4 linked regions of the Oryzias latipes genome follow. The protein of the gene in region 1 interacts with the protein of each later gene in a biochemical or structural test. Links are inferred from orthologs where the notes say so. Each region holds a gene or a part of one and is shown in the gene's direction. Other genes may lie near its edges.

What was found.
Region 2: the proteins of bcl2 (region 1) and bad form a complex in vitro, tested with the Homo sapiens proteins (5 studies listed by BioGRID and IntAct, with this or other methods). The link is inferred for Oryzias latipes from reciprocal best matches to the Homo sapiens genes BCL2 and BAD.
Region 3: the proteins of bcl2 (region 1) and nr4a1 form a complex in vitro, tested with the Homo sapiens proteins (2 studies listed by BioGRID). The link is inferred for Oryzias latipes from reciprocal best matches to the Homo sapiens genes BCL2 and NR4A1.
Region 4: the proteins of bcl2 (region 1) and fkbp8 form a complex in vitro, tested with the Homo sapiens proteins (4 studies listed by BioGRID, with this or other methods). The link is inferred for Oryzias latipes from reciprocal best matches to the Homo sapiens genes BCL2 and FKBP8.

The regions. Positions count from the first base shown.
Region 1 is NC_019875.2:25,473,159-25,481,046, reverse strand, and holds the start of bcl2 (apoptosis regulator Bcl-2), read left to right. Parts: upstream 1-3,185; 5' UTR 3,186-3,709; coding exon 3,710-4,258; intron 4,259-7,888. UniProt on the Homo sapiens protein: Suppresses apoptosis in a variety of cell systems including factor-dependent lymphohematopoietic and neural cells. Regulates cell death by controlling the mitochondrial membrane permeability. Appears to function in a feedback loop system with caspases.
Region 2 is NC_019876.2:12,864,938-12,872,563, forward strand, and holds the start of bad (bcl2-associated agonist of cell death), read left to right. Parts: upstream 1-2,935; 5' UTR 2,936-3,110; intron 3,111-3,438; 5' UTR 3,439-3,446; coding exon 3,447-3,594; intron 3,595-5,592; coding exon 5,593-5,807; intron 5,808-5,886; coding exon 5,887-6,018; 3' UTR 6,019-7,626. UniProt on the Homo sapiens protein: Promotes cell death. Successfully competes for the binding to Bcl-X(L), Bcl-2 and Bcl-W, thereby affecting the level of heterodimerization of these proteins with BAX. Can reverse the death repressor activity of Bcl-X(L), but not that of Bcl-2.
Region 3 is NC_019865.2:22,176,921-22,184,798, reverse strand, and holds nr4a1 (nuclear receptor subfamily 4 group A member 1), read left to right. Parts: upstream 1-3,014; coding exon 3,015-3,797; intron 3,798-3,900; coding exon 3,901-4,030; intron 4,031-4,273; coding exon 4,274-4,437; intron 4,438-4,528; coding exon 4,529-4,731; intron 4,732-4,822; coding exon 4,823-5,001; intron 5,002-5,390; coding exon 5,391-5,647; 3' UTR 5,648-6,751; downstream 6,752-7,878. UniProt on the Homo sapiens protein: Orphan nuclear receptor. Binds the NGFI-B response element (NBRE) 5'-AAAGGTCA-3'. Binds 9-cis-retinoic acid outside of its ligand-binding (NR LBD) domain.
Region 4 is NC_019862.2:8,040,390-8,048,120, reverse strand, and holds the start of fkbp8 (peptidyl-prolyl cis-trans isomerase FKBP8), read left to right. Parts: upstream 1-3,068; 5' UTR 3,069-3,505; coding exon 3,506-3,537; intron 3,538-3,637; coding exon 3,638-3,888; intron 3,889-4,049; coding exon 4,050-4,219; intron 4,220-4,335; coding exon 4,336-4,424; intron 4,425-4,869; coding exon 4,870-5,090; intron 5,091-5,368; coding exon 5,369-5,541; intron 5,542-5,608; coding exon 5,609-5,686; intron 5,687-7,659; coding exon 7,660-7,731. UniProt on the Homo sapiens protein: Constitutively inactive PPiase, which becomes active when bound to calmodulin and calcium. Seems to act as a chaperone for BCL2, targets it to the mitochondria and modulates its phosphorylation state.

The DNA.
Region 1 (7,888 bases):
TTTGGTTTAAAGTGTCCTCCTGCTTCTCCTGTGAGAGCTGCCTCACTCAGGGGGGGGGGGGTGAGGACAGACAAAACAGTTTTAAAGGATGTATTCCTCCCCCATGCGGAGGAGGAGCAGCAAAGTTGTGTCTCACCAGGGAGAGCAGCAAAAAGTAGTAACACACTCTCAGCCATGTCGTTGTATGTATTTGCAATTTTGTCTGAAAGGCGACACTTTCTGCTAAACGAGCTCGTCGTTGTCTTAACGTTCCTTCCACAAGTCTTTGCAGGCAAAGCATGTTCGATTATTATCAGAGAAGGACATGGCTTTCAGTTTTTTTTTTTACTGATTTAAAAAGTTATATTTCAATTTAAGATGTAATATTCTGACATTTCACATGCAGTGAAAGGATGTGTTTGCTTTTCTGTAACCGAACAAATCCCAGAGGAAGAGAGAAGCCATTCCGTCAAAATCTGGTAAAAAACAAACAACAAATCACCAAACTTTTTGTTTTTTTTCCTCTTTATCGCAGCTTTAAAGGAAAGCGGGTTCTTTGAGCTGACATCACCGAATGAGGAGAAAAACCCAGCATAACTGTGTTTTAACTGCACAAGTTTAGTTCCTTTTCTGTCCATTTATAAAACCAGAAAATGAGCTTTTAAATCAGCTGGGTTGATTTACAAATTCACACACTTTGATAAGAAATTCCATTCAGAAATGGTTTAGACTTGCAGGTTCAAGTCTTGTTTTTCTTAGTCTGGTCTACTGAGGGCGCTAGAGATGAGCTTTACATTGAGACCAAAATGTCACTGGGATCAATCTATGTGGTCTTCTTCTCTGAAGGTTTTGAGCTGCTGTCAAAAGTAGCAGGAAATTTGAAAATTCCTTAAACAATTCCTTTTTTATTTACCATGAAATCTGTCTACAGTTTTTCATTTCCAGTTAGAATCAGTAAAAACGACTCTCGCAAGTCTCCCTTTGGTTTAGTAAAACTGAGAGAATGTACTTGAATGCAAAGCACACCACACAGAAATAGTATTTTTTCGAAAACACTAATGTTTGAAAATTCAAAATCTTGAAGATGTCAGGAGAAAAAAATGCATTTAACCTAAGACTTCTGGATGCCATTTCTTCTTCGTTCAAAGTCCTTAAAGATGGTGGAGCAGGTCACATTCTAAGCCTTAAACTCACAAAAGCTTTGGGTGTGAAACTGTTAACAGAACAGTGCCAGCTGACGTGGATTTTTTTCATGTGAAATTCGATGTATTTTATTTGTATGGCGACGTGATCCTTCCTTAATTCCAAGAAATGAGAGTGAGAATGAATGACTCGTGTTTTGATGATGTTCTCATTTGATATTGGTGAAGGCCAATCGTTTCTGCGCTTGATCATTGTTCATGGTTCATTTGTTTTCAGGTTTGAAGTAGCAGCCAACAGTTTAAAGATGTAGCTCATGGAAAGAAAAGCTGTTTTGGTTTGAGCACCTTTAAGCTATGCAACTTTAGCTTAGAATTAGCTTTGGGGAAAGAAAAAGAAAAACCCTTCTGCAGCCGTTCTATCGTTTTCCCCGTTTTGTGTTTTGGATTCATTCCTAGAAAGTTTTAAAAAGGTTGAACATCCCATTGCACTCATTTGTTTGATTCCTTACTTTTTTTTTTTTAAATAATTCTGCCTAAAAAAATGCCACCTTCACCTTCTGTGCCATTCAAAGAATATTTGAAATGTGAGATGTTTTGTCATATTTTCTTACATGAGAAAAACAATAAACACCTGTAAGAAAAATATTTTGTTTTGGACGAGTTTTTGTCAAAAACAAAGAATTTGGGGTGTTTGTGTGTCTCCCTAAGGCAGGCATGTCCAAAGTCCGGACTATGACTTTGGACATTTATTTATTCTTTTTTTTATTTCACCTTTATTTAACCAGGAAATGTCCCATTGAGATTAAGAATCTCTTTTTCAAGGGAGTCCTGGCTAGGAGGAAACAAAAAGTTACATTTACAATAAAAATATAAACATTTAAAACATAAAATTAATAAAAAAATAACAGCTTATGTAAAACAGGTGCAGTTAAAAGTGACGTTCTCCTCCGTTCTCAGCCTGTACATGTCAAATTTCCACCAGTGCCAAATCAATATTATGCGACCTCCACCACTTTCTAAGAACGCCGTGTATGATTTCTTGATTGTGATTGGTTAAATTAGGTCATAAGAAGCAACAACCTGTGGCTACTTGACCTTCAGAGGCTTAAGGGCCAGACGTGAGGAACAGTTTGTTTCTGTCATCCAAACCACAATGGTTTGTACTTCTGAAAAGTATAACTATATAACTATTTGTTATTTTCCTGTTCAGGTCATTTAAATGTAAAAGTTTAGTCAGCATCATGAACAATATGAAACATATAAACAACAGGTTTAATAATGTATTTTTCATACAGACACTTTCTTTTATGTCTGGTCTTCAAATATGAATTTCACAGTAATTTGGGTTGAAATGTATTTAGATTTATTTCTTTAATAAGTGAAGAAATGGTTAATCCCATTGTTTTCTTTAAATTGTTCATTGGATTTAATGTTAAAGTTTGGACACCCCTGATTTAAGGAGATTTTGGGAATGATGGCAAAAAAGCTTTTCCCAAAACTTTAAGAAAATTGATAAGAAAAGCAGATTATAGATGGAACCAAAGGAAATGTCAGGAATCCAGCAAAGCACAAAAAGTAAGTCTGCATTGATACATGAATCTTTGCAACAGTTATAAAGAGTTTGAAAGCCTGTCCCATTTAAATGTTGCCACATTTTTGAGAAACAAGCATTTTTTTTTTGTTTTTTTCAAAAGAAATGTTTCCAAAAAGAACATATTTCTGCAGTTTTTGATAAATTAAATATAGGGAATGAATTAAAAGTCAATTTTACAATTGATATAAACACAAATGTCCTGACTTTTTGTCATTTGTTCTGCTCTGTTGGATTTTCCTCCACAAGGGGGTGATTGAACCTCATGGACAACTAGCAGGAGGTTTCTCCCTACGTCTTTTACGATTAGATGATTTATGTTTTAGTTGGACCACAAAGACCTTTAAAAAAATATCCGTGAGAATAGGCGCCTGTGATTGATGAGGTGCGTTAGTTTTAGCGCGCTCTGAGGATCTGAGCGGAACCACGGGTTCACTGACGTCAGGGATACCTCACCAGCAGAGCCTGGCTGCGCTGCGCTGCGCGTGAGGAGGAAGAGGAGGAGGAGGCGGATTTCGGGAGCAGTCGTGATCGGACCTTGTCCGACTTACTTGTTCCGTGGCTCTGCGAAACCAGCGGTTTCGTTTTGGCGCGCAGAAGTTTGCCTTTCATTCATTTTTTTTCGCCACGCACGGGGATGCGCGCGGAATTGGAACAACATTACTGCCTCTTCCGCGTTTTTGGATTTATTTGGAAAGAAAATTTCGACAGTTTTCCCCTGCAAAGGTTCGAAAAAAGATGAAGATTGCTGCTGATTCGGACCCGGGATTTCTCTGACTTCCACTAGCGCGTCTGCGCAGTTCCGTTCAGGGGGTTTCCACCGTTTACCAAGTATTTGCGCTGCGTGGGATAATTAGTTGCAGATCTCAACCTAGTTTTTTTTTATTTTGGGGGGGGGGAGACGCTTGTTCTGTGCGTCATGAGCGGCACGATGTGGATGAAAATGCAGATTATTTAGTGGGATCAGTGACTGTCCACTGTGCCAAATTACGCAGGAATGGCGAACGTGTCTAATCGCAGTATTGTAGAAAAGTACATCTGCCACAAACTCTCCAAGAGGGGCTACGTGTGTGGGCTGAACGGCGGCCAGCGCGAGAATGCTGCCAATAACGGCTCGGTTGGGGACCATTCCCCGACTCCGGTCCGCCGCCGCTGCGACGCAGGAACGGGGCCTGACGAGGAGAGCAGCCCCCGCCTCATCAGAGCGCTCTCCCGGGCGGACCCGCTCGCGGACATCCACAGGGTCCTGCGCGAGGCGGGAGACGAGCTGGAGCGGCTGTACCAGCGGGACTTCACGGAGATGTCGCGGCAGCTGTACCTCACCTCCACCACGGCGAAGACGAGGTTCGCCGAGGTGATTGACGAACTGTTCCGGGACGGCGTGAACTGGGGCCGGATTATCGCGTTCTTCGAGTTCGGGGGCACGGTGTGCGTGGAGTGCGCGTCCAACGAGGAGATGAGCACGCAGGTGGCCAGCATCGCCGAGTGGATGACGGAGTATTTAAACGGACCTCTCAACAGCTGGATTGAAGAAAACGGGGGATGGGTAGGTTCGACTCCGCGCTTTGCAGCTGTGCGCCATGGGGGGGGGCAAAGGTCCTCTTTGGACCCAACTCCATTGATGTAAAGTGTTGATTTCATGACACACAACCTTCATATTTGACTAATCACCAATGCTGGGCTCTGATTTGTCTTTCTGCAATGAAAAAATACACGTGAAGTCTTGGAAAAATCTGCTCTGGATGTGCTCAAAGTGACGCACGACTGCGCAAGCTTTCAGGATGGACAACCCCCCCGGTGAGCCGCTCCGATTGGACGAAGGCGTTGGCTGTTAAAGTCATGTGTCCAATCGGAGCACAGGTGTTGTGTCACACCTCCGCGCTCTGATTAAAAGTCCCGCCCTGTTAGCAGAGCAGAAATGTGGAGGCAGACAGATGTATTGGAAGTGCCCCCTTAAACACTTCACTTTAGTAAAGTCGAAGATATTATCAAAACATTTGCTAGAAAACAGACAGAATATCGCACTCTTTTCTTTTAAAATAGATCTTTTTGCTGGAAATATGTTTAAAACTGCTTTTTTTGATGTGCAGATTAGGATTATTTGGCAAAAAAAGAGCAGTTTATAGGTTTGAATATCCAAAAACTTCATTTAAGTTGCTTCAATTCTAAATAACAACACCCAAGTAGAAGTAAAAGGTATTATTGAAACATTCATTCAAGTAAGAAGAAGAAAGAAACTCAAAGCCTGAGTACCATTTTAAATACATTTGATTTATAGTTAAAATATTTAGCATCAGATATAAATATCTTCTTGCACGGTGGTGCTGTGGTTAGCACTTTGGCCTCACAGCAAGGAGGTTTGAATCCCAACTGGGACATTGCTGTACGTTGTAGGTTCTCCTCATGCATGCAAGGGTTTTCTCTGGGCACATAATCCATTCATAGTTTAATTGCTGGCTCTAAATTGCCCTTAGGTGTGCATGTAAGTATGTATGTGGCCCTGCAAAATACTGGCGAGCTGTTCAGGGTCACTAACAGCAGTGTTGTGACCCCAAAGAGGGATTCAATGGGTCCTAAAGATGAATGGACGCCCCAGCATGAGTTGAAATGTATAATTCTTTACTTTTAAATACTTGTCCTGAGCTCTATTTTACATTTAATGTGAGTGCAGAAGATGTCGGCCCATAAATTAGCCTTTAATCAGCAGAGGGTTCTCATTACATTTATGCAGCATCTTAGCTGGAAGGTGTCATAATGGGATGTGCGTGCATGTTTGGAGAGGTAGGAGGGACATCAATGATTCATATGGAATCCTTCATCTCAAAGGATAGGACCGTTTAGCATTCCCCTTGAGTCTGACTTGCCCCCAGAGTTGGCAGCTCGTGCCACATATCAAAGGGAAGCAACAAAGGGAGGGCCCTGCAGGAACACAGAGTGCTAATCTAGAGCCACTGTGGTTAACATGCAGTCATCTGTTGAGCATGCAGGCTCGAATTCTGCGTCTGATTTTGCAGACTTGTGTTTTAAAGCTTGGAGGAGACTGGGCTGCATAGATGCTGGAACAAGCTCCCTGGAGCCTGTGGCCAGTGTGCTACAATGTAGGTCATCATAGTCTGTGTTTTACAGCTGGGTGGAGATGACTGCATCTCTGCATCCACTGGAGAGAATAAAAAGGGGAAAGCACAGGCCTGGTATACAAATGATCATTTTGGGGGTTTGCATAAGGGTGAATGTTTGATGGATTTCTGCTCTGGAGGAACCAAAAAACAAAAACTATTTTCAGCGAAGATGTTGATATTAATTCATTTGAATAGTTGTCGGGAAGGGAGTTCCCCCGATGAGCTGGTTTCCGTCATTACACGACGTTTAATAACTGAGACACCGCTATGGATTTGTTTTTGTTAACCTAGTCTAATTTTTGAATTTGAATCAAAGTTGCTTGAACGGTAGTTTTCTCAGGGGTGTGTGTGTGTGTGTGGGGGGGGGGGGTGTTACACTGTGAACTTTGCGTGAATGGTCGATCTCGGTCAGATTCCCCCCTGAGCTGTGGAATACCAAATCACGTTTTTGTCAATACTAGAATTTGAGTTTTCTCTGATTCAGTCAAAAAAAGTTCACTAAAAGCAATATTTTCTATTTACCTTAGATACAGTCTCTTTGATTAATTGTATGCTTGAAGGAAAATCTTTACTAAACAAAATATTTCACCAGTGAAAACCTGACCATGCAGAATGAAACTGACTTAACTTTCCTCTTGTTAGCTTTCTCTTACAATGGCTGTTGTTAACATGTCGGTTTGGACCCTCATCTGAGATTAGTTATAACATATACTTAAACTATTATTTATCTTCATTTTACCCATTTCTTGGTTAATCAGATTGGGTTTCCTTATCCAGGAAATTGTTAGTTTCAGTGCCTTCAGTCTTATCTATTTGACCTTTTGTCTCAAAAACCCATCAATTTCAATTTCAGAAAACATATAAAATGTTCCTCAAAATAGATCATTAAACAAAAGGTAGTTGTGTTACCGTCTGTCACTGATGGACATTGCAACACACCTCTTCAATAACTTGAGCTCACAGCTCTTCCCATGATGCAGTTTTTGGCCTGATTTTAAAGTTTGTGACCTCAGTGCACGGAAATAATCTGGAATCCAATCTGTTTTAATGTAAAAGCTTTGAGAGGGTAGTGGCCAAGCTTATGTGCTTACAGCTAATCTAAAGGTGGGATTGGCTGAGCATGTCCATTTATGGGGGGGGGGGGGGGGTCATTGACTGTACATGGAACTGGAACGAAAATGTCTTATTTCCAGCTTCAATGAAATTAAGTCAATTCAGTCGCCACTTTTCATGATATGGATGCCACCATGTTGGAGCCAGATAATGTCAGTAAGTCCGTAAGCAGTGATTGGTCAAAGTCGACAATTCTATGGCAATCACTCTTACCAATCAGAAGTGAGCTTGCTGGAGATCCACAACCCCACTTCTTAGAAGCGGGCTCTGGAGAATCTGTCAATCAAACACTTCAAACGTTTGATGTGAGACGACATGCTTCTATTGAGGCATTTCATTGGTCAGTTTATAACTTGAATAAATTGCACTACGAAAAAAAAACAACCTGAAAAGAATCATGATTATCAAGAACAAAAAGCACCAGAGGAAGATTAGTTATTCTAACAAATATAGTATAATGAAGTATAGCTGTTTATTTCTTTATAGAAGTCTATGGGACTTTGGCTTCTTGGAGGCGGTGGGTACTTCCTGTTTGGGCCACTTAGTCCACTTCTAATAAACAGTCAATGGTGGAAACCCATTTTCAAGGTGTTTTGGTTGCTTTCCCTTTTTTTAGATCACCCTTCTGACCAACAGTAGAGAAACTCTGTAAACGAGGTTTAATGTTCTCTTTTGACAGGTGGTACTTATGGTCACTTACACTGTCCATGGTGTTATTGTGTGACTCAGCTGAGTGTTGGCTTTTCCACAATACAAAACACCGGTGGGTACTAATCAAGGTATCACTGATGTATTTGATAACAGATCTCTATCATTTCTTCAGTCTCCACTTCCTGTTGTTTTTTAAGACAATTTGAGCCCAGAATAGCTTCACCCACTAATTGCTGTTGAGTCTACACATCATGGGTGACTCAAGTAGACATTCAGTTACACAAAACCTGCTC
Region 2 (7,626 bases), on another chromosome or scaffold:
TGTGGCCTCTGTTAAAATTTCCGCCGCCCACAGGCTCTTGTCAATTATTTGCGTCTTGCAACACTTTCTAAAAACGGTGAGTACGATTTTCTAAATTTTATGGGCTAAATTATGTCAAAAGCAATTAAAAATCTGTGGGACCCTTTTGTGACACTTTCTAGCTCATTTCTAAAATGTCAACTGTAAATTAAATATGTATATTTAATATATATAAATATCCGTGTCTACCTTATATGCCCAGAACTGGTTGTTTTCAAGGAGTTCAATATCTAGATGCACTACAAGATTCATGAGTCATGCTAACTATGTCAAGCTAGCTGGTACAGAATGTTTCATAGTCTTTTAATATGAAATTCGCAGAAAGTTGGGTAAAAATGTATTTAGCTTATTTTCTGTTCTACATGAAGAAATGAAAAGTATGTCGTTGTAATTACGTTTTTATTACATACCGGTAGTTAATTTTAAGTTAATGGTTTTATGAGGGTTCAGTGCTAGCCAAAGTGACGTGAGTTTTAAAAAAAAAAAAAAATTATTAACAAATATTGCACATACAATATACCAAATACAAAACTCCACACTGTGTTCAAAAAACAATTTTCACGTTTGCCAGGAAAATGAACAAAAATTCAAAAAACCATAATAATAACAATGTGAAACAGGTTAAGTAAAAATAAAAAAAAATAATAAAGGCAAAGGAATCTGTTAAAGTTTCAAAGGCACTATGTTTCAACTGTTCTAACAGCTTTTTTGTTAGTGGAGGATTTGATTCTGTTTACATACAGTACCATTTCTTTCTGGAAAACATAAAATACTGGGTTTTGTTAGCATATTTACACATGTGTATAAAATATTTAGTATAAGTAAATTGACTACATATATTTTCTCTGCATTTAATCCCCCTTGTGTAAAATATCCAAAAATAATATGCTCATAGAATAATCTATAATCTTCACATAGATGAGTTCTTATAAAATGTATCAAATCTTTCCAAAATACTTGAGTGAAGGAGCAATACCAAAAAAGATGAGGCACAGTTTCTGGTGAGAAATGACAAAATGAACAGTTTATGTCCCGATCTTTTCTAAATTTAGTAAAGAAATGTTTCACTGGATAAAATTTATGAAGAATTTTAAAAGAAATTTCTTTAATTTCATTGGTGATAACATTTTGGGGCATGGAAAACTTTTCCCACTGCATTCTACAGCCAAACCTATTCCAGTATGAGATAACATGCGGTTTTGTCGCAATCTCATTTTAAAACAGAGAACGGATACTTTGATTATTCCTGCCAGCTGAAAAACACCACAATTCTGTTAATTTGGGAGGAGAAAATGGAGTATTTGAAGGAGAACTGCTACACAGAAGTCTAACACCCCCTGGAATGGCTCCAGTAACCAATGCAAACTCTGCAGGTGAAACATGCAGACTATTGGTGGACAGAAACTCAATGTATGACATCAGGTTACCTTGTGGATTAATCAGCTGTGTCACAAGAGAAATGTTCTTTTCAAACTAATTTTCAAGACAAATACTCTTGTTTTTGTATAGAATATCTGCATTGTTCCAAATATAGTAGCGCTGAGTAGAAAAATTATGTTTGTAGATCAAAGTCTATGCCAATAAAACCTGCTTATGAAAATTAGACAGTTTTAAAGGATTTTTTTCCATTATTAAATTACATAATAAAATAAATGGCAGACCTCCAAGCTTATCAAATATGTATTTTTATATGAAATTCTAAAATGAGGTTTCACTTTTTAAGAAGTTTTTTTAACCATTTCATTTTGATGACATTACTTAGAATGGAAAAGTTAAGAAAGTCAAGTCCTCCGTCTTTTGATGAATTAATTACTACTGATTATCGTACATAGTGGATTCTATTTCTCCAAAGGAAGTTAAAAAGTATCTGATCAATCCTTTTTGCATTTTTACCCTCTTCCCTTCTCTACTTCTGTACCTGTCCCAAGCCCGGTTGCTTTGAGAGGGTTGCGTCAGGAAGGGCATCCGGCGTAAAACATTGCCAAGACTACCATGCGAATCTTCCACTGTGAAGTGGCTGATTCGCTGTGGCGACCCCTGATGGGACAAGCCGAAAGTGAAACAACTGTCCAGAGATAGTGAGGAAACAATGTAGACTAGTCTGGAAATTCCTTCTGCTTTTGCTAAGAGGACGTGACCTTTTTGTAGCCAGCGATTAAACTTATTTTGTGCTTTTGCAATCATAGGATTATAGTTATTCAGTTCTCTTTGTTTTTGTTCTTTAGTTATCTGCAATCCCAAATATGTGACTTTTTCTTTGACTACTATACTATTTATGGATGTTAGAGCACATTGTTTAAGAGGAAATAACTCACATTTCTTTAGGTTTAGATAGGTCCTGATGCTTTTGAAAATGTTTCTATAACTTGAAGAAACCTGTGAGGAGTTTAAGAATAATGATTCATCTGCCAGTTGACTTACAAGAATGTTTTTACCAGCAATAGAAATCCCATCAATATTCTCAATTTTATTTATCTGCAGAAAACGTGTGCAACCAGAAGAAACAGGTATACAGAGACAGTACACCCCTGTTTTATTCCTCTCCGAAGACAGAATCTGCGACTCGAGTAGTGCCAGCACTCAACTTGTGACGTCGTGAGTTTTGGCAGAAAAAAAGGGGGAGGGGTGAAAATGAGGAGCTTTTTGGTTCTGCGCTTCTTCTCTGGTCATTACGGTAACCAGACCAGACAAACAAGTCCTAGCTCGCAACAGTGACGTCAGCGCGCTGCGAAAGTGCAGGGGCGCGCGGCGATTGGGCGAAAGCGGAGCAGGGGTGTAATGTGCCGCGGGCAGAGAACACCAAAACATTAACAACAAGCAGTTTCTGCCGCTCGAAGCTAACTTCGGAGACTCTTTCCCACCTCCGGAGCGGACGCCGCAGAGATTTCGGGTGAGAAAAACTACTTCCAGGAGGTTCTCTTTAGCTGCGCGGAAGGTGGAGGGGACCGCTTCCGCCCTGTATGAAGTTTCTTTTGTCCTCTTGCTCTTCGGTCAACAACAACACAAAACAAACGAGGCAGTGTGTCGACGAAGAGCACAGCTCGCGAGCGCGTTGAACTACGAAAAACAAAGTACGTTATAACATCTTAACGAAGCGCGTGCTGTCAAAGTTGTGTCCTTATCTCGTGGAGTTGTTATTTTTTTAATACCTTTGGACTCAACCACTGATAGGCAGCTGGGTGTGTTACAGGTAGACACATAATTCATTTAGCTAATAGACATTTTATGACTCTAGGAGTGGAAAGTTGGGCCTAGCTCAATTTCTATTTCATTTCGGCTTCAAATGTGAAAGAAAAATAGTATTTGATTTGTGATGGTCTTCGTTTAAAATGATCATCAAGCTTCTCTGGTAGTGAATTATTGGAACAACGTGTCCTCAAAACACCTTTTTTTCTGCAGATGTTACGATGGCAGCAAAGTTCACCATCTCAGACGATTCGGAGTCATCCGAGGAGGTAGAGGGAGGAAAACTTGACCTGGGAGCGGCAGCAGGAGGAGAAGGGGAGCACCTTCATGATCGACATTCCCTCACCCTGCCAGAGCTTCGACTCACAAGTAAGCAGACCAAAAGCATTATGGGAAATGAGAAGCACTTTTAAGAGTTGTTTGAGAAAATTCCAGTCTTAAGGCAGCAGGATTCGGATTTTTTGGGATCCTGAGGTGGAGCGGTTAGCTGTTTTATAGGGTCACTGTATGCAAGAACTGGACTGAGCGACCCCTCCCACCTCACGTTCCAAACAGGAAATCCCTGCTGGCTCCAAGAAGACAAAGTCTTATAGACTTCTATTGCGAAATAATCAACTATTGCTGACTCTATATGATCCTTTTTTTTAATAATTATATTTTTTTCTATAGTGCAAATTATTTCAGTTATAATCTGAGCCTTCAGATGCCTCAATAAAAGCATGTGGTTTCATGTCAAACATTTCACTGACTGATTCTCCCAAATGATAGGGCTGTAGACCTTTAACAAGCTCTCTCCTGATTGGTGAGTGGTTTCCATAGAAACTTTGACTCAGACCAATCAGAGTTTACTAACATTGTCCCACGCATTGCCAACATTTTGGCGACGACATTGACTTTGTTTCATTGGAGCTGGATGGACGGTATTTCCTCACTATACAGTGAATGGCTTGTACTTCAGTTTTTGTTAGGACCCCATATAGAAAAAGCTGTCATTGATAGGGGATGGATAATTTTCTCAAGGATAAACATTGTCTTTAATAAAGCGTTGTTGTTGTTTTTTTTATATTTATGAAATATAAATATGCAGTTTAAATTGTAGTGCCATTTAGATGACACAAAAAGAAATAGACGCTGAAGGAGAAACTAATACCTGCTGGAAGAACAAAAAGGGAACAAAACTTTTCCTAGTGGTAAGGTAATCACTGTCTCACCTAAATGTGAACACAATCAGAGATTGTGTGCAGTCAGTACAGTGTTTTCTTGTTTATCATGGAGTTACATTCTAAATATCGATAAAGTTTGATTCTTTTCATATCCAGACTTTTCTCTCTTTTTTTTAACTCTCAAATCTCAAGCCTTCGTAGAAAATAAGTCCAATATTATAGAATGAAAACAAAGATGTAACTGTGGCACAAATGAGATCCACAAGGTCTACAGCCAATCAGAACGCAGTGTGCTGTATAAAACAATACACATACTGAATTGCACTACAAAGATCCACGAAACAGTGAGACAGCGATAGATGAGCCGCGTAACAGAGTGGGATCACGACCCCAAAAACGTTAAATCTCAAGTTGAGTAGAAAGAGTTTGACTTGTTTTGTTTTGGAAGCTGCTGCTGCATGGAAACTGTCGACAGTGAGACTCTCTGGACTGTCCACACGATTCAGCTCAAACTGCGGATTCTGACGCAGAAAAAGGCAGCTTTGCACCGATCAGCAGCTCACTACTGTAAAGTTTCGCACGGCTGCTTTTCTATGCATCGGAAACAGCTGAAGTGACGTCAATTGTGCGACTGCTTAATGAATTACGGTCGTCGAAAGAGCTAAAGCAGCGGCGTTAAAGGGTTCAACGGCCTCTGGTTGGAGTCTTCTGAGGATGGAGCCGTCAGCATCTGCAGCTGTAGCCTACAATCAACAAAGTGACTAGTAACTGCAGAAAAAGTCACTATTTAACAGTTTTTGAAATGATTTAAAATGGAACAGAACCGGGTTGTCTGTGTTTGCGCACGAATCAGTGGAGCCTCACGGGACGTGGCAAACGTGGCATCAGATACTATTTGTCTGATTGTTATTTTCCTTATGTTTTTAGCTCGTACGTTTCATGGCGCAGCATCATTATATTTGACCAAAACTTTATTTTTTACATTTTTTATAAACTAACAGGCAACATAAAAAGGGGAAAATGAGGCCGAATTCCCTCACTGCTGCCTAACTCCCAATGCATTTTGGGATTGTAGATTCCCCTCATAAGTGGCAATTCAGACACAGCAGAACCCTTGAAGGGGTGTTTCCTCTGTCTTCAGGTCTCCCAGGTTACCCGTACTTTTTCAACGTTCGTTAACATTTTGTCCTTACCTGTCATAAAGGTAACGGGCGTACCAGGCTGAATTCAGAGTCCACCGCTTCCACGTACTCCAGAGATGAGGACCTCGCGCGGGAAGACGAGGCCGGAACCCCCACTGATGGGTTGGCCTTCAGGGGCAGATCCAAGTCGGCCCCTCCGGCTCTGTGGGCCGCCAAAAAGTACGGTCAGCAGCTCCGACGGATGAGCGACGAGTTTGACAGCCTGCTGGATAAAGGGGTAAGAGCGGGTGGCGAGGGGGCGGGGCGGCAGACGAGAGTCGCTTCCCGGATTTGAACGTGACATCTGCCTTGTGCAGGAGATGAGGAAGGTGAGGAGCACTGGGGCGGCCAAACAGATGCTCCACTCCACGAGCTGGTGGAACTACCTCTTCAGCCACCCGGAGGCGGAAGGAGAGTACAGCCACCACGAGAGCCACCGCACTGAGTAAGGATGGAGAGGAAGACTGTTGTGATGAAGGACTCGGAGGAGGACAGAAACCACGGGGGCATCTACACAAGAGGAGGGGTCGACCCACTCAAATACGAGAGGAATGGGAACACTAAGACCGGGCTGAACGGGTCTCCATCTTTGAACTCGCTCATTTCTTTTAAAACATTTTTGTCTTTCTTTGTATTTGACTGTGATGTTTTTTAAAAAAAAAAAAAGCCCACTTGACTGAGAATTTAGACATTTGACACATCAGCGTATACAATGAAATTATCATCAAATATAAGCAATCTACTGCAGGCGGAGAAAAAAAAGGCGCCGACATCCGGCCGTCAGAGGAGATAGAAGTGAAAACTCCTCCTCCTGCGGATGAACGGGGGCGTCTTTTATCTCCGTATGGCGAAGACGGAAAGGGTCAAAGTGCTCGATTTGGGCTCGTCCGAACAATCTCGCAGTGGGACAATCTTCAGCGATGCACAAGTGCTTTCTGGGTAAATCTTCAGGGTTACATCGACGCATCAAACCTGCGATCAAAGGCACAAATCCGAGAACATCGAGTGTAAATACTTTGTGAATATTTTTATGAAAGGACAGGAAGGGCCTGGAGGGGCTTTAAATAGATTATCAGAGGTTCGGTGGGCGTGGCTAACCCTGCAATAGGCTGTGTACAATCCACGGCTGTTGTGATGAGTGAGGAAGGACGACTATACTGCTGTTAACTCTCCGGTCCAGAGGAAGGGCTTATTTAAGAGGAGCAAACTACTTTTGGTCCATAAAGGACAGGGTTTCAATGCCCAGATCTCTGCTTTAGGATGTGAAGGTTATCTTTTAGTCCGTAAACAAACAAAAAGGCTAGTTTTTATCCAATCGCTGCAGCTGGATTTGACGTTTGTGTGTTTTTCTGAGGAAACCGAGATCTTTAAACCTTTTAAAAACGGTTTCTCGTTTATTCTGCTCGCCGTCTTCCTCAAAGTCGGGAAGGTCGCAGACATCTTTGCCAACGTTCCATCACTCGGGTTAGCTCTTTGTAGAGCTTTTTTCTTTTTTCCCCTAAATAAACTCCAGACAATCTAAAACGGTGCTGCATTTTTCTAAAAATGTTCCCAGCTGTTGTGATGTGTTCAATGCCACTACGTTTTTTCTACGTTTATTCTCTGTTTTACGAATATTTCCTAATCACCTCCTTAAAAGGAAAATATTTGTACACATGAGCTGGTAGAGATTATTCGTGGCTCTCGGGTGAAGCGTTTATTCTCGGGAGGTGAAATGTCGCGTCAGATGAAGCGCCTTTTTGAACTTCACAGCCTTAAATCTTTATAGGGACACTGAAGCGGGAAAGCACAAACTCTCAGAGGTGCGTTCACTGCCACAACGGCGAGGGAAACACTTTTGATCGGCTCTCTAGCGGGCGGCGAAGCCCGAACCTGCGCTGGCGGGCGCCTGGAGTTTCCGAAACCATCCTTAGTATTACTTGAATTTTTGAGTGTGTCTAAGAAGGGAAGAAATGCAATTTTAATACATTAAGTGGTTTGTTTTTTGGAATAATTTTTGTTTTTTTTTTATGTATTTTCTCTACAGCTGTCCAGCCTCTGCTGTCTTTAATAAATGA
Region 3 (7,878 bases), on another chromosome or scaffold:
TTACAGTTATGACAGCAGCTGCAAGGATATCACATGGAGGATGCCCAGAGGGGACCCAAAGAAATGATCTAGCGGATGTCACAGTTACTGTTGTGAATGGCAGGAAGACACTGTTTCTGATTATATTGATCAGATAACGAGTGAAATCAGTCAGTGTGGTGTAGGGAGGCCCAGTGCTTGCATGTCATCACAGATCCACAGAGGAAAATATAACTGCGAGACAAGTTTCCAGCACAGATTCAAGTAAGTGGCTTAAGTGTTTGTCATGGAGCAGACACAGCTGGAGCAGCAGGTTTAAGTGACTTTGAGCTGACATCAAGCACCAGTATATAAAGGGATTACACTGACACACAGCACAAATGTTCCCTTTATTTAAATAACCAGCATTTCCCTAAATATATTTTCAGCTTGCTGCATGTGTTTGTGTAACCATGAGTTTGCATTCAAGTAACGTGAGTGCGTCCTCCCTGACATGCTGGGAAAGGGTTCACAGACACTTGATGAAACCCGAGAAAGCAGGTACAAAACTGAACCCCACGGAATGCTGAGAAAGAGATGGCAAATTAATGCCGGAGGCTACAAAATAAAACCACAAAACACAGCAGCACATAATCAGGTCTAAGGGCCTTAATCACATCTCTGGAGGCCACAGCTGTGACTCACTGCTTGCCCCTTTCTCATCGTGAAGAGGTTTCTACCCTAAATTTGCAGTATGTTCATTTGTGAATGCCAGGACAACCCAAACTCCACAACTTTGGTGCATGTGGGTGTAAATTCTGAAGACGTTTTAAATGTTGTTTAGCATTTGTGATTTAAGAGGGGGCGTTTGCCATGGATGAAAGTCAACCCCCCTGCCCTTTACTGTTTGCTAGGAAGCCAAAAATGATTCGGCCACTTAAACCTGAAATCCAGCAAGCACAGGCTAGTTCAAACAGAAACCTGCAACAGCAGCAATGATAACCTATTGATCCTGTCGGGGTTCTTTTGCTTCAACACTTTAACGTTATTTTGATGTTTGAAGCTATGCAGTATTGACATGGCTATTTAGATTGTTCTTGTACTGAGCCTAAAAAAAGAATTGTTCCCTCAAAATAATAATTTGGGCAGGGTTGGAGCTTAGGAGGTCAGGTACGCCCTACAGCAGAAAGCCTTGCCCCCCCCCCCAAATCCTTGACTCAATATAAGTATCATTGTTGACAAATATTAAGAAATCCTAAAAGATTCTTTAGGCTTTATTAATGGCACCTCAGCTAAAAGAACTGCTGTTTTAATATTAACAACAGTAAGAATAAGGAAACTGTTTAAGATATGTTCTTTTGCCCGTGTTCTCATTTGTCACACTTCTAAAGTCGCCCCCTCCCCCATATAAAATGTTTATCTCTGCAATGTCGCAACAGTTTATTATTCTGTGAGCATGAATTCATTTTTCGTGGACAGAAATTAGCTTTTTTTTTAGCACAGTGAACTGAGCCTTTTGTCCACACAAATTAGTATTTTTGTATCAATACCCACTAATAATTTGTAGCATTAAATACTCATTTGTGGCAACAAAAATGCTAATTAAGTGCTCAAAAAAATGCTAATTTGTGGCACACAAAACTTTAATTTGTGTGGCTACAAAACGCTAATAAAATGTTCTTGTGCCCATATAATGTCAAATTGTGGTTACAAAATGCTACATTGTGGTTACAGAATGCTACATTGTGTGCATAATATGGTAATTGTTAATGTGAGGGAACAATTTCTTAAATGTTTTGTACAGGGCTTTCTATTCTTGCTTTTACTTGCAATTGAATTGACCCAAACTTAGGCGTTTTTTTAAGTAACTGAGTTATTGTTATTAAAGGGGTTAGATCCCTGTATTTCCATTTGCTCAATGTTAATAAACACTTGCTAAATAGAACCTCCCACTTTTATTCAGATCTACTCTGTTTTACCTAGATATCAGTAGCGCGCGCCCGTGCGCACGTGTCTGTCAAGTCGGACAAAGCTGCGGTTCTGGGCGTACGAGCGTCAACGGAATCCCGTAGTGCGTCACAAAAGCGCTGTTCTCTCGAAAGGTGCTGTGATTGGCTGCACCATGGAAATCTCCCGCCCACTCATTTGACACGCATGGAAAATGACGTCATGGACAGTGCTACGCTAGAGCAAAAGTATAAGAGAGGCGGGGAGGACCAGAGGAGCCGGACGGAGAACCTGTCAGCTGGGAGACGCTGATCATGAGAGACGGTCGCTCGTAAAGTGGAGAAAATTCACAAAAATACTTTAACGGACTAGACAGGTAAGAAGCATCTTAGTAAATCAATCCTATAGTGTTTATTTGAACTGCTTTATTTTTATTTTTGAACGGAAAACAAATCATCTGACTTTTACAGCTGCACGCACATATGCGGTTTAATGTTTTTTGAAATCGCTTCACGTGTTTAAAAAGTCGATGAAGTCTTCTGAAGTTAGTAGTCTGCTGGTTTAATTTTGCACATGCGTGTTTTGGCAGTGTACTCCAGAGTGAAAGTCAACCCCGCTGCACTTTTCAGGCGTTACTATAATTACTAGGAAATGAGAAATGATAAAGTGGGATTTGATGACTGCTCCAACAAACAAGCACGACTTTCTAGGATTTTCTTATAAATGGAGGTTGACAGGGAAGAAACATGAAAATTCAAGTTAAAAATATTCACTTAAATTACAGAGATACTGTGTCAAAGGGTTGTGATAAACAATACTTTCAATACAAAGATGACAGCAGCAGTAATTATGGTACTCTTGGTTTTTTTATTTGATATATCAGTAAAACATTTGTATAAATTGAAGTTTGAAAAGCCAAATACTGATGCTCCATTGGTAGACACAGGAATTGAATCAGGATCTTAAGGATTGACAATAAGCTGCTCCACTGAGCTGTGTGTATACATTATGTATAACATTTCACTCTGGAGTGGAAGCTTGTTCTTGAAAGCTCATTGAAGACCTAAAATCCAAGCTAACATGTTCATTTCTCTCTCAGTCTCACAGTCATGACTTGCGTACACCCCCGACATGGACGTCAGCCCACTGAGAGCAGTTTCAGCAGCTCTGAGCTTCAGAATGCAGACTTTCTCTCCAGGCTGGCCGTTGACATGAGTGGCTCCCTGGAGCACCACTCTACTCCGTCCCTGCCAAGCATCGGCTCCTTGGTGGGCACACCTACGGGATCTTTTGATGCGTACTCATGCCAGTTCACTACAACCCCTGCCCATGTACCTTCAGCGTCAGGCCAGGAAAGCCCCTTCAAGCTGGACGAGCTCCAAGTTTATGGCTGCTACCCTGGAGCGTTCACTCTGAGTTACCCAGATGAGGCTGTGTCTCCCAGTGGCTCGGATTACTTTGGCAGCCCCGCGTCCGCCTCTTCTCCTTCGACTCCTGGGTTCCAGAGTCAGAATGTGTCTAACTGGGATTCAGCTTTTGGGCCATATTCCCCTGGTCAAGGATACTGGATGACTGAGGACACCTCAGGGCCACATACTCCATCTTTTTTCATGTTTGGCTCAGGTTCTGTGGAGGACATGTCTCATTTGGGTCAGGCACTTTTCCGAGAGCAGGAACCCTTTGCCGCATCTCAACCTCACCCATCTGCGATGCAGTTTCCCGCTATGGGGATGGAACAGGCCCTTTGTCTCGACAGTGCTGAACAGCGGGATGGAAGTCTATCGCCCAAGCTGAAAAGTGGAAGTGAGGGCGGCTGCGCTGTTTGTGGAGACAATGCCTCCTGTCAGCACTATGGGGTCCGCACCTGTGAGGGATGCAAGGGTTTTTTCAAGGTAAGAAAAGACAAACCAGTCCATAGTGGCTTAGTCGCTTCATAGAAACATAGCAATTTAAAAGGTAAAATAACTAATTCCTCTACTGTTTTCTTTTTCACAGCGCACAGTTCAGAAAAATTCCAAGTATGTCTGCCTTGCCAACAAAGACTGCCCTGTGGACAAGAGGAGGAGAAATCGATGCCAGTTCTGTCGCTTCCAGAAGTGTCTGGCAGTGGGAATGGTCAGAGAAGGTATGCAAAGTACAATACCTCATTGTACTATCATATTATTGAAAATAACAACTCTAAAGCTAATGGCAACATTAATATCAAGCATAAATGAAACATGATAGATTCTACATCAAGCTTTAAAATGTTCAATTGGACTGTTCTTTTCCTTAAACAAGAGTCTGCTTTCATAGCAAATATAGAGAAGAGAGATTCAGGGAAGATGAATAATTTGAGACTAACACTTGATGTCACCTTTTTCTACAGTTGTTAGAACGGATAGCCTGAAAGGACGGAGGGGTCGCTTACCATCGAAGCCTAAAGGTGTCAAAGATGCCACTCCCATTGTATCCCCAGTGAGCATGATTGCGTCGCTGGTCAGGGCCCACATTGACTCAAACCCTGCTGTTGGAAATCTGGATTACTCTAAGGTAAGCCAAAGCAGGGTTCCTCTTTTTTTGTAGTTCTGTTTTTGTATACTTTGAATAAAGCTAAACTCCCATTTGTTTTATGTTCTCTTAGTACCTCGAGAAGGAAGTCAGCGCGAACCAGAAGGAAGACGTGAGTGACATAAAGCAGTTTTACGACCTCCTCACGGCTTCTTTAGAGGTTATCAGAAAGTGGGCGAAGGACATCCCAGGTTTCTCTGACTTCTGCTTGGAGGATCAGGAACTGCTGGTGGAATCTGCATTCGTTGAACTCTTTATCCTGCGTCTTGCCTATCGGTGTGTGCCATTCTCCTCTGGTTTCTGTTCTGTTTATCTCTTAATGTTTGAAAAAAAAACAACAACACATACTTTTTTACCATTTATAAAGGTCCAATCCTAAAATGGAGAAGCTCATCTTCTGCAACGGAGCTGTCCTGCATAAAACACAGTGTGTCCGGGGCTTTGGGGAATGGATCGACTCCATCCTGGAGTTTTCTCAAAGCCTTCATCGCATGAAGTTGGATGTCTCCTCCTTCTCCTGCCTTGCAGCCCTGATCCTCATCACAGGTGAGATGTTTGTTGGTCTCAGGCTTCTCTGCACTAACACTAGCTATAGTCAAAAAAGTGTGCACGTGTTTCTTTGTCAGGGACACTAAACAGCATAACCATGAGAGACCGATGTGACAGGTGCATGACAAAGAGCAGCATAACTTCACGTACAGCACAGTAAAGATGGCATAGGAGACCTAAACAGAAACAGAGTGAAGGTTTTATTTTTGACTCAAGGCTTGTAAGGTAACAGCACTTTGAGAGGTTAGCTAAGTGACCTTTGTGTTTGTACAAAAACAGTATACAACAGTGTGCACACAAATGAGATAAACTCAGAGGTGGAAAGTACTTTTATTTGTGTTTATTTTGTAAAATGAGATTTGACAGTGTCTTGCTTTTTTCAACAGATCGACATGGCCTGAAGGAGCCCAAACGGGTGGAGGATTTACAGAACCAGCTCATCACCTGCCTGAAAGACCATGTGACTAGCTGTGGTTCAGAGTCCTTACGGCCCAATTATCTGTCTAGACTTCTCGGCAAGTTGCCCGAGCTCAGGACTCTGTGCACGCAAGGTTTCCAGCGCATCTTTTACCTCAAACTAGAAGATCTGGTTCCTCCCCCACCAATCGTGGAGAAGATCTTTATGGAAACTCTGCCGTTTTGAGTTCCAGATGCAAAGAGACCAACTGTGAAAAAAACATGAGTAGTTTATCTGGATGCCAAAGACAATGGACTTGGTGCTCACACTGCACAATACCTGTAAAACTTTAAGAGTTTTAACAGAATAATAATAATCCTAAGGGATTCTGCAGCGTTAAGGAGAGCACTTCTGAATCACAAAGTGAATGAATAGTTAAATACACACCTAGAGCCACAAATGCTCTTCCTTATTGACTTTCTGGGAAAGTGTGTTGTCTTCAGATGGAAAAAGATTGGCCAGCTCATGGACCAAATAGTGAGTGTTTACATGCAACAATGGGCAAATTATGGAAATACCCCCCATCGTTGCCAGATCTGCTGCTCGAGTATTGAAAAAATCTTCATCAAAGCTCTGTATAACCCTTGTGCTATCCTAGGCACTTTGACATAGGGAGTTGGGTCATCTAGACCCCACTAGACAGTGCGCTGAACTTTTTCCTTCAATGATTTGTGATCTTCACTGGTTTCCATGGATTACATGAAATCGTCTCCACCTTTATCCACCTTTGTCATGGTAGGGAGAACACGTCAATGGTCATCTTGACCCCATAGGATAGCACAAGGGTTAAAGCATTTTTAAAAACTTCCTCTTTGTTGACTGAGCTAGGGCTGCACAGTATCCCTTTATTGACATCAGTATCATTATCTCAACCAATTCACATTTCAGTTCAGTGTCCATTAAGGTTATGCACTGTCTAAAGTGTATGTTACTAACAAATATGAGTGACAGAGTATTAGTTTGAGTTGTTTTTCAGCTCAGACGAAGTAAATTGCATGTTTTCTTGGTGTTGTGCAGCCCTATATATGAGCCAGCAGGAAGCCAGCCATAGGTGAAACCTTCAGAATTGATCACTGGTATCATTCATGTATCATGAATTGTTTTTGAGCAGCTAATATTCTGTTTATTATCCAGTCTTACTCAAAGATCCTGTTTGTGAATGGTTTTTAAAGCTCCAACTGAGCTGTATTCTACAGTGTGGAGAATTGTTGTGGGGTTTTGTTTTTACATACTGAGATGATATTTTGCCATAGTTCAATGTGGAATAAAATAAAAAACATTTTATTTGCAGTGCATTTGTGGTTTTTACACGATAAGCAGAGTGATTTGAGTGTTTTGAAATACAACATTAAGGTTTACTGTGGTTTAAAGACCATCTGTCATTAGTGGTCTTTGTAAACAGACATTGCTCTAATTACAGCCCAAATAAGAGAAATATTGGGATGTTTCTTCCAGGGCCTATATCATGCTTTTCTTAAGCCTTTCAGAGTGAACTATATCCATATATGAGATAATATATTACACCTAAAAGCTCAAAACAAAAGATTTTGCATGATACAGAGCCTTTAAAATTTGAAATGAATTATATATATAAAATGTGTGTTTGCAAATTACATGAGCCAATATTTTATTTATAACAGAACACCTACACAAATGTTTTCACCTCTGCGAAGACAGGACTTGTCTCTGTCTCAGATAGGACGAGCATACTACTGTGGCATTACATCTCTTTTTCTATTATTGACAATTATAAATCGCCGGACTTTAGGATTTGTCTTTCTCGAGATTTGGGTTTGTTGGTTTTTTTTTTTGGGGAAATTTTCATTGAAAGACACACCAGATTCAGTGGGTTAATTGCTCGCCACCTGTGGCCTCACTCACTCTTTTAAACGCCGGTGCCCAGGCACGACTACCACTTTCAACCTTTACCATTGAATGTAGAAGAGAACTGGACTGAGTGACCCCCTAAAATTCCAAACAGGAAGTACCCTCTGGTTCAAAGAACCCAAAATCCCATAGGTTTCTATAGAAAAATAAACAGCTACTCAGTCATACTACTTGTCAAAATAACTAGTCTTGCTCTGTTACCTTTTTTTTAAACATCTTGCTAATCCATTTTTTTTTTCACAATATTTTCTGATGACTGGTTCCAACATGGCGACGTCCATATAGCAAAAAAAGGTAACTGAATTGGCGTCATTTCACTGGAGCAGGAAATAAACCTTTTTCTATGGGTGAAATCACAGTCTCAGTCAAGTTCTCATGTGCACTCATTGACATTTACTGGTGTGTGTTCCTGTGTTGAGGGGGGGGGGGGCACGGTTGGGAGGCTGAATAGAATATTGGCTCATCTAATTTGGAAGTCTTTTTGTTATTAATTTATTCCATCGAACATTTTTCCATTGTTCTTTTTTTCA
Region 4 (7,731 bases), on another chromosome or scaffold:
CCCGTCTGGAAGATCCTCTCTAGAACTTCCTCTCAGCTTGTTTTTCCTTTTCCTTCCTAAAAAAATTTGCCCACACGTCTCTGGAACCAGATCAACCTGCCACTGCAGGAAACAGATTTTGATTCTGAGTTTCTGATCCCACTGTCCTGCATTCCAGAGTGACTCCTCAAGACGGACGTCAGCAAGCAGATGGAGGACGTCCTTCAGCGGGCTTGTTCATGTCTGCTGATGCCACATGTTTAGCGGGGAATGTGCTGGTTTTATTCTTATTTTTACCATATCAGTCTGTGAATTCTGAATCGAGTTCTTTCGCCTTCATGACTCCAAGCAGACAGTCGTTCCCTTTCCTTCGTCCTGCCTCTCCTGAGCTGATGGACCTTCCTGGAGCTTCGTTTCGCTTTGTCACATGTGAATTTCCCGCGTGGAAGGTTAGATCCCCCTCTCAGTGATGCTCCTTCCATCCACCGATTCCACGTGAAAGGCTTTACGTCGGAATGTCGAGGATGTTTGTTCATTTTGACTTTACATTGACGGCGGTGAAATCTGCAGACCAGGTGAAGACAAAGTCCTGGTTTTTCTCTTGGCCTTATCTGTTGCTCCTTCTGGTGAATGAAGCAAACCGTCAGCAGACAGCAGCTGTAGCCTCTTTGTGTGCTTGATCCACACGCGAGCTTCCTGATATCAATGTGAACCTACCGTCGACAGGGACACCTGCAGGATTTACTGATGGGGAATCCCTCCGGCAACCCCCTTTCTGACCTCCAGTTCCTCCTGAAGCCCCGCCCCTTTTTCTCCTGGTGTAAATACTGTAAAATGCATTTTGATATCATTGACATGTTTTCATGTCCGTCACAACCGGTGAGTCCAGCGGGAAGTAGAGTATAAATGTTTTCCATGAAGAAACATTTGGGTCATGAGGCTAAATTGGCTGAATGTACAGCAGACGGATGAAGACTTGTGTGGAGAGGGGGGTGGGACGGGGGCGGGCCGGCTGTGGCGTCCTCACTGTGCGCCTAGTGTGACGGCTGTTTTTAAAATAATTTTTAAGAAAAGTCTAGATTTCTTTCCCTGAAGGGCATCTCCTCACAAACGTGGGTCACCTCATATTACAGTTTTTAATATGAAGGATTTTTATCATGGAAAAAAAACTTTTAGAAGAAAAAAGATATTTTAAAAATCTTTTACAAATGTTATTTTAAATGAAGATCTGGATGTAAGAGTTCTGGGGAAGCTCGCCGGTTGGTCCTGTCGCCGTAAGTTGATCTTTGGCCATCTCTGTACTTCTATCGTGGTGTAAAATAATGTACCATTAGGAGGAGCTGTCCATGGTCCTCTCTGATATGAAGCAGTCTATTTCCTGGGTTTGCTTTGTATGTCATGGTAGGATAGTCCAGAATCTTGTCTTAGGGTTTTAGGTGTCTTGTGTATCAAAGATGTTCTTTGTATGTTTCTTTATATTGTAAAGTTTCTTTAAGCGGAAAGAAAAAAACGATTTGCTTATCAAACAGGAACAATGCATCAATAATAAATATCATCTGATTTTTCTCTGCTGTTTGAATCTTTTCCTAAATCCTGACATGAAGATCCTGTTTAAAACCAGGAACTTTTTGATGAAAGCAGGGTGTGTTCCACTCGACACAGCTGTTTTATTCCTTAATTAGAGAAAGAACACATCAGTCATGGGTATTTATACCACTTAGATACAAGTTTGTTAGCTTGAATCATAGGAGCTGATGTTTTTACAGAAGATCACTTTGTCCAAAGCAGGGGCATCAAACTGATTTTCAGCGAGGGCCACATCAGCGTGCCGGCTGTCCTGGGGCCAGCTATAACTCATACATGTAACTAAATGTAATGAAAAATAAATGTACATACTCTTTAATGTTAAATAACTCATTAGTTATTTATTATAACTTTTTAAAGTGACAATTACAGCGGCATAGAAAACATGTGTTTGCATGGTACTCTAGCATAAATCCTTTTACATTTGATTCTGACAGGTTAGGTTATATTGGCAGTGTTTAAGTCCTAATGGATAGTTGCCCAATCAGATATTTTCAGATTCCCCCAAGATATGAATAAATACAAACCAATTTGTATTTTTATTCTAAAAAACTAAAAACTTTTATGCTCTCGCGGCCCACAAAAAATGACATGGTAGGCCACATTTGCCCCCTGGGCCTTAAGTTTGACACATGTGGTCTAGAGTGAAGTAAAGAAATGTCTTTTGGGCTCATGACACCAAAAATACTTCCGAGTTCTTCCTTTGCTTAAAGTGAAAACTGCTAATAAGCAAAGTTTCCCGGACATTCTTGTTAAAAAATGTCCAATCGGCAGCACATCGGAGGCAGAAACAACACAGAGATCGTTTAAGCTTTAAAAGTAAAAATGTGTGAGGAAATCCAGGAAGAATCACTCACAGCTTTGATGACTAAACTTGCGTTTTCATCTTTCGCTATTCTTTGGTCACATTTGGATTTATGTGACACCAAAATCAGTTGAAATGTGTTTTATAGTTTACAGTCCAGAATGCAGCTGCTTCTTTTTCACAGGAACCAGAAAACATGAAGACATCAGAGATTTTACATTTCACCACCATCTGAAAGAATTTACAGGACTGACCAACAAGCAGTTCTCTGTTTTTCAAAGTAAAAGTTCTGTGCCAGCCACTGATTCTTTTACCACCCTTCAATCAGTGAAACACATTTATCAGTAAAACTCCTTTATTCATTTCAAATTTTTGTTTTTAACTAGTAACAATGTTTAAGTACATTATTTATTGTGTTTTTCTATCTTTGAAACTTATTTGGGCGAACTTGTCTGGTTCTTCGGTTCATCAAATGTTTAATAATGATTGGAACTGTGTGACATCAGGATCTAAAGCATAACAGATCTTTCTGCTCTAAAAGGTTCGCGTTTTCGTGGTGAAGGATGTTCTCCGTCGTTTCATGAGTGAGCACAGGGTGTTTTTTAATGGAACCATTAAGGGGGCTTTTAATCTGAAAGCAGAGAAAAGCTTCTTGAAACATTAAAGCGATGCAGAGTGCTGCTGCGCATGCGCGAGGATCTACCGCTGTGACGAAGTCAGCCTGAGTGTCCACTGTGGCCCTTCCCGTTGGCGCCGTGCGCTCTAGACTTTTCTATTCGCAGTCTAACTTCCTGCGTGAGCTTGAAGGATCGGGACGCGGCTGTTGGACCAAAACAAGGCTGGAGGTGAATGTTCGCGTTCTAATTTACAATTTTAAGAACTTTTCTGTGTGTGTTCCTTCGTTTGGAAGTGATTCTAATCGACGACTTCGTTTTGTCAAAATGTCAGTGTCACTAAAAACTCTTAGTTTGATGGATGCAAATAAGCTAAGCCGCTGGCTCATAGCTAGCTAACCCAGCCACCTTCAGCTAACGCTAGCATTAGCATGTAGGTTTTGACCGAGAAACCTCGTTACTTTTTAAAAACCCACGGAAACGTCAGGTTTTCTGAAGTTTGGAGTAAAACTGTCTGCATGCAATGTTGGGGAACTGTAACGGATATCCTGGTCGGTACGTTAACGTCAGATTCTGCTGTTTGAAGAGCTTTTCTGTGAAGCTCAGAGATAAGCGAACAGAAAACGAGCTTCCTCAGTTTGACTGTCTTCTCCAGAATGGAGACCGTGGAAGCTGCAGACGGCCGCGAAAACGCTTCTTCTTCTGCCAGAAAGAGCGGACAAACGTCGTTGCTGGACAGCGGAGAAGACTTCGAGGTTGTGGATGAAGAGGACTTTGATGAGGAGCCTCCTCCTTTAGAAGATGCGGGAGGTGGGATGGAGAAAAGTTCAGATGAGACGGCGAAGAGGTCTCCACATGAAGAACCAGAGGCTCCGGCTCAGCTGGATGAGTGGTTGGATGTGTTGGGTGAGTCTGGCACTTGTTTGGCCTCTTCCCGCTGATGTTTCTTGGAAGAGAGAACAGTTCTTCATTTGTCTTTTGAATCTGACAGGTTCTGGAAGTAGTTGTGAGTTCCAAACAAGCATTTGGTGGTAGTTCTTGACAAGCCAACAGTTCTCTCTCTGCAGGAAATGGCCAGCTGAAGAAAAAAGTCACGGCGCCCGGGAAGGGACGAGCCAGTCGGCCTCAGAAGGGTCAGAACGTACGGATCCACCTTAAAGCTAGCCTGATCGATGGGACTCTGGTGGAGGAGCAACCTAACTTCTCCTTCACTTTGGGAGATTGTGATGTTATCCAGGTAAACCCTTAGTGGTGATATATGTCAGGGTTAGCCCCAACGCTCAAAATTACGTCTGCAGGTCTTGTTTTGTGGATTTGTCTCCGGTCAAACGTCAGTCAACACTTTTCTTCCAGGCTCTGGATCTGACGGTCCAGCTTATGGAAATGGGAGAAAAGGCTCTGATCCAGTCAGATCCTAAATATGCATATGGAGACAGAGGAAGGTGGGAGATAAGCTACTCTACATCAAACGCTGCAAATTGGTGATATAGAGAATTTTAACCATCCTTTAGAAAGATGGTAGCAGAGCCCAGAGTCTGAGGAGCCTCCAAATGAAATACTTTTTATTTTACTCACAGGTGGTTTAGTAAGTGGGAGGGGCTTTTTGACACACGTGGTCAAAAAAGTCTTGACATGTCTCACATTTACATAAACTTGGGTCAATAAGACCTTAAAAAGCAAACATTTGTCTTTAATTCAAGAGAATCTGTGTCTTTTCCTGACATGGGGGTAAAGGAAAGGAATCACTGGGAAATAAACTGTATGGATCCCTGGAGATTCACAGAAACAGACTGACTATGCCATCCTTTTTTTTTTGTTGGGGGGGGGGGGCGCTGCTGTTTTTGCTTCAGTCACTAAACCTGCCTGTTTTTTTTTTTCTCGTGTCAGTCTTGAACCTCGTGTTCCTCCAAACGCTCAGCTGTCCTTGGAAGTGGAACTCCTGGAGGCCACTGATGCCCCCGATGTGGAGCTGCTGCCCCCCGCAGAAAAGATTGCCCTCGCCAGTCGTAAACGAGAGAGGGGCAACGTCCATTACCAGCGTGGAGACTATGCGTTTGCAGTCAACTCCTACAGCATCGCCCTGCAGATAGCAGAGTCCAGTTCCAAAGGTGAGACCTTCATGACGCCGTCCCGCTTTCCCGGCAATGAAAGCTCCTCCCCCTGATCATCTTGCGGTGACTGATCAGTAACTGCAACTTTAAACCAAACAATGACGTGAAAATCAAAGCCCTGCAGATGTGAATGAGTCTTCAGTGGATCTTTTTAGCTTTTTTGCTCTGATCTTAGATTGAGATTTATTTCAAACATGTGAAGCAATACAAAATAATAATAATAATACATATAAAAAGAAGGAAGTTTGATATTGTCGTTGTGTTTTGTGGGACAGTGGACATCCGGCCGGAGGAGGAGGACGAGCTGCTGGATGTGAGAGTGAAGTGTCTGAACAACATGGCCGCCTCTCAGCTGAAGCTGGACCATTACGATGCTGCTCTGAAGTCTTGCGTTTCAGCTCTTGAGCATCAGCCAGACAACATAAAGGCACTTTTTCGCATGGGCAAGGTTGGCCTCAGTCCCGGAGCTTCTTGCTGCTGCTGAATGTCTGCTAAATGGTTGTTCTTTCCTCTAGGTTCTCTCTTTGAAAGGTGAATACACAGAAGCTATTCAGACCCTGAGGAAAGCACTGAAGCTGGATCCCAGCAACAAGGTCATTGAACTGTTTTCTCTTGGCAGATTGTCATTTTTACATTTGGCCAGTAGGTGGTGCCACAACCTAGACTATGGGTTGCAGCAGGCCACGTGGTCTGCTGAGTCAACATATGTGGAGATCTGTTTTCATGTTGCTGCTGAAAATAGGTTCACCCTAAGGCTGGGCTAATGCCAAGCCAGTGTTTGCTTCTGCTTCTGCACTGGTTAAATGTGGTTCTGCAGCCATACATGGACACAGCCGGTTCCAGTGTGTAGGCTTCCTGGACCAGCTGAGGCCCAGAACCATCGCTGTAGTCCCACTCCAATCTGTCAGACTGGAGCAGCCAACACACGAGATGTTTGATCTGTGGTGTTTACTCCTCTGAGAGACGCTGTGTGTCTGAAAATGTTTTATCTCAACATCCCTGAGGTGACCTTTTGCATGGACACCTGCATGCATGTTGGTGCAGATTTCCTGAAATGGATGAAAGTGTTAGTTTTTGCTGAAGGTGAAGGTTTTCTTTCTGGAAGTTCAGACAGAAACTGTTGAGCCTCCTGCTGCTCTAAGGACACGTGACCTTAAACGGCTCATCAGCATCTGCTGCAAACCGGGATTTCAGAATCAGAATCAGCTTTATTGGCCAAGTGCAGTGCTGTACAAGGACTTTGGCTTCGGTGTCTTGTGCTCTCGCCCAAACTAGAAAGATATGAAAAAAATTTAAAGGAGTAAGACAGGAGAGGATAAATGATAAAAATAAAGTACTATGAGGTAGACGTAGGAATATTTAAACATAACTAAATAAATAAATGCAACAGTAAAAATGTAGCAGTAGTTCTGGTGTGACAGTTTCTGTGGTTTTGTTCCGTGTTCTTGAGTGGTCTGTTGTCAGGAGTTCATTAGAGTGACAGCTCGGGGGAAGAAGCTGTCCTTGTGGCGAGTGGTTTTGGTGCACGTTGTCCTAAAACGCCGCCCTGACGGGAGAATGCTGAAAAGGTAATGTCCGGGATGAGAGGGGTCCTCTGCAATTCTGCCAGCCCGCTTCCTGACCCTGGACCAGTACAGGTCCTGATGGAGGAAGAGTGGAACCAATAATCCTCTCAGTAGATCTGATGATTCTCTGAAGTCTGGTTCCTGATCCAAACCCGACCGTGATGGATGTGGTCAGGACAGATTGGATTATTGCAGTGTAGAAGATGGTCAGCAGCTCCTGAGGCAGGTTGAACTTCTTGAGTTGTTGCAGGAAGAACAACCTCTGCTGAGCCTTTTTCCAGAGTGGTGGTCCCTAGGAACCTGTGTGAGTCTGTGGAGGGTACAGTGCTGTTGAGAATTGTGAGGGGGAGGGGTTCCTCCTGAACTCCACTGTTATCTCCACCGTTTTAAGTGGGTTCAACTCCAGGAGGTTCTGGCTGTCCCAGAGGACTAGCCGCTCCACTTCTCCTCTGTATGCAGTCTCATCACCGTCCCGGATGAGCCCAATGACTTCTGTCGTCTGCGAACTTCAAGAGTTTCACAGTGGGTCTTACAGAGACGAGAATAGTACTATGCAGTCTTCCAACACTTTTCGTGGTTTCGTCAGCTAGCCTGTTGTTTTTTTTTCCAGCAGCCACAAGTTTCTAAAGGATCCAAAAACTGCAGTACAAGTTGTCGTTCTCCCAGAAGCCTCTGGGTGGACTGGTCTGCAGGCATGAAATTCCTATCACATGTTATCTCTGCGTGATGGTTTTCAGTCCTGCAGAGCTTTGGCTCTACTGGTATTCTCTGCTGCTTTGCTTGGTGGTTTCTGAGGAGCACTCTTGAACTGCAATAATCCGGCCCGTCTCCTGGAATAACTGCTCAATGTGGGCCTGATTAGGTTGGTCATGGTCCAAAAAGCTAAAATAGTGTTTTTTTTAAAGGCGCCACAGTGAACAGTTTTGTCTTTTTGTTGCATCATGGTTTCAGATGTTTTGGGAGCCCAGGTGTGGCTCTGAAATGTGTTCTTGTGTTTCCAGACCATCCATGCAGAGCTCTCCAAACTGGTGAAGAAACACTCGGAGCAGAGAGGAGCAGAGCAGGCCATGTAC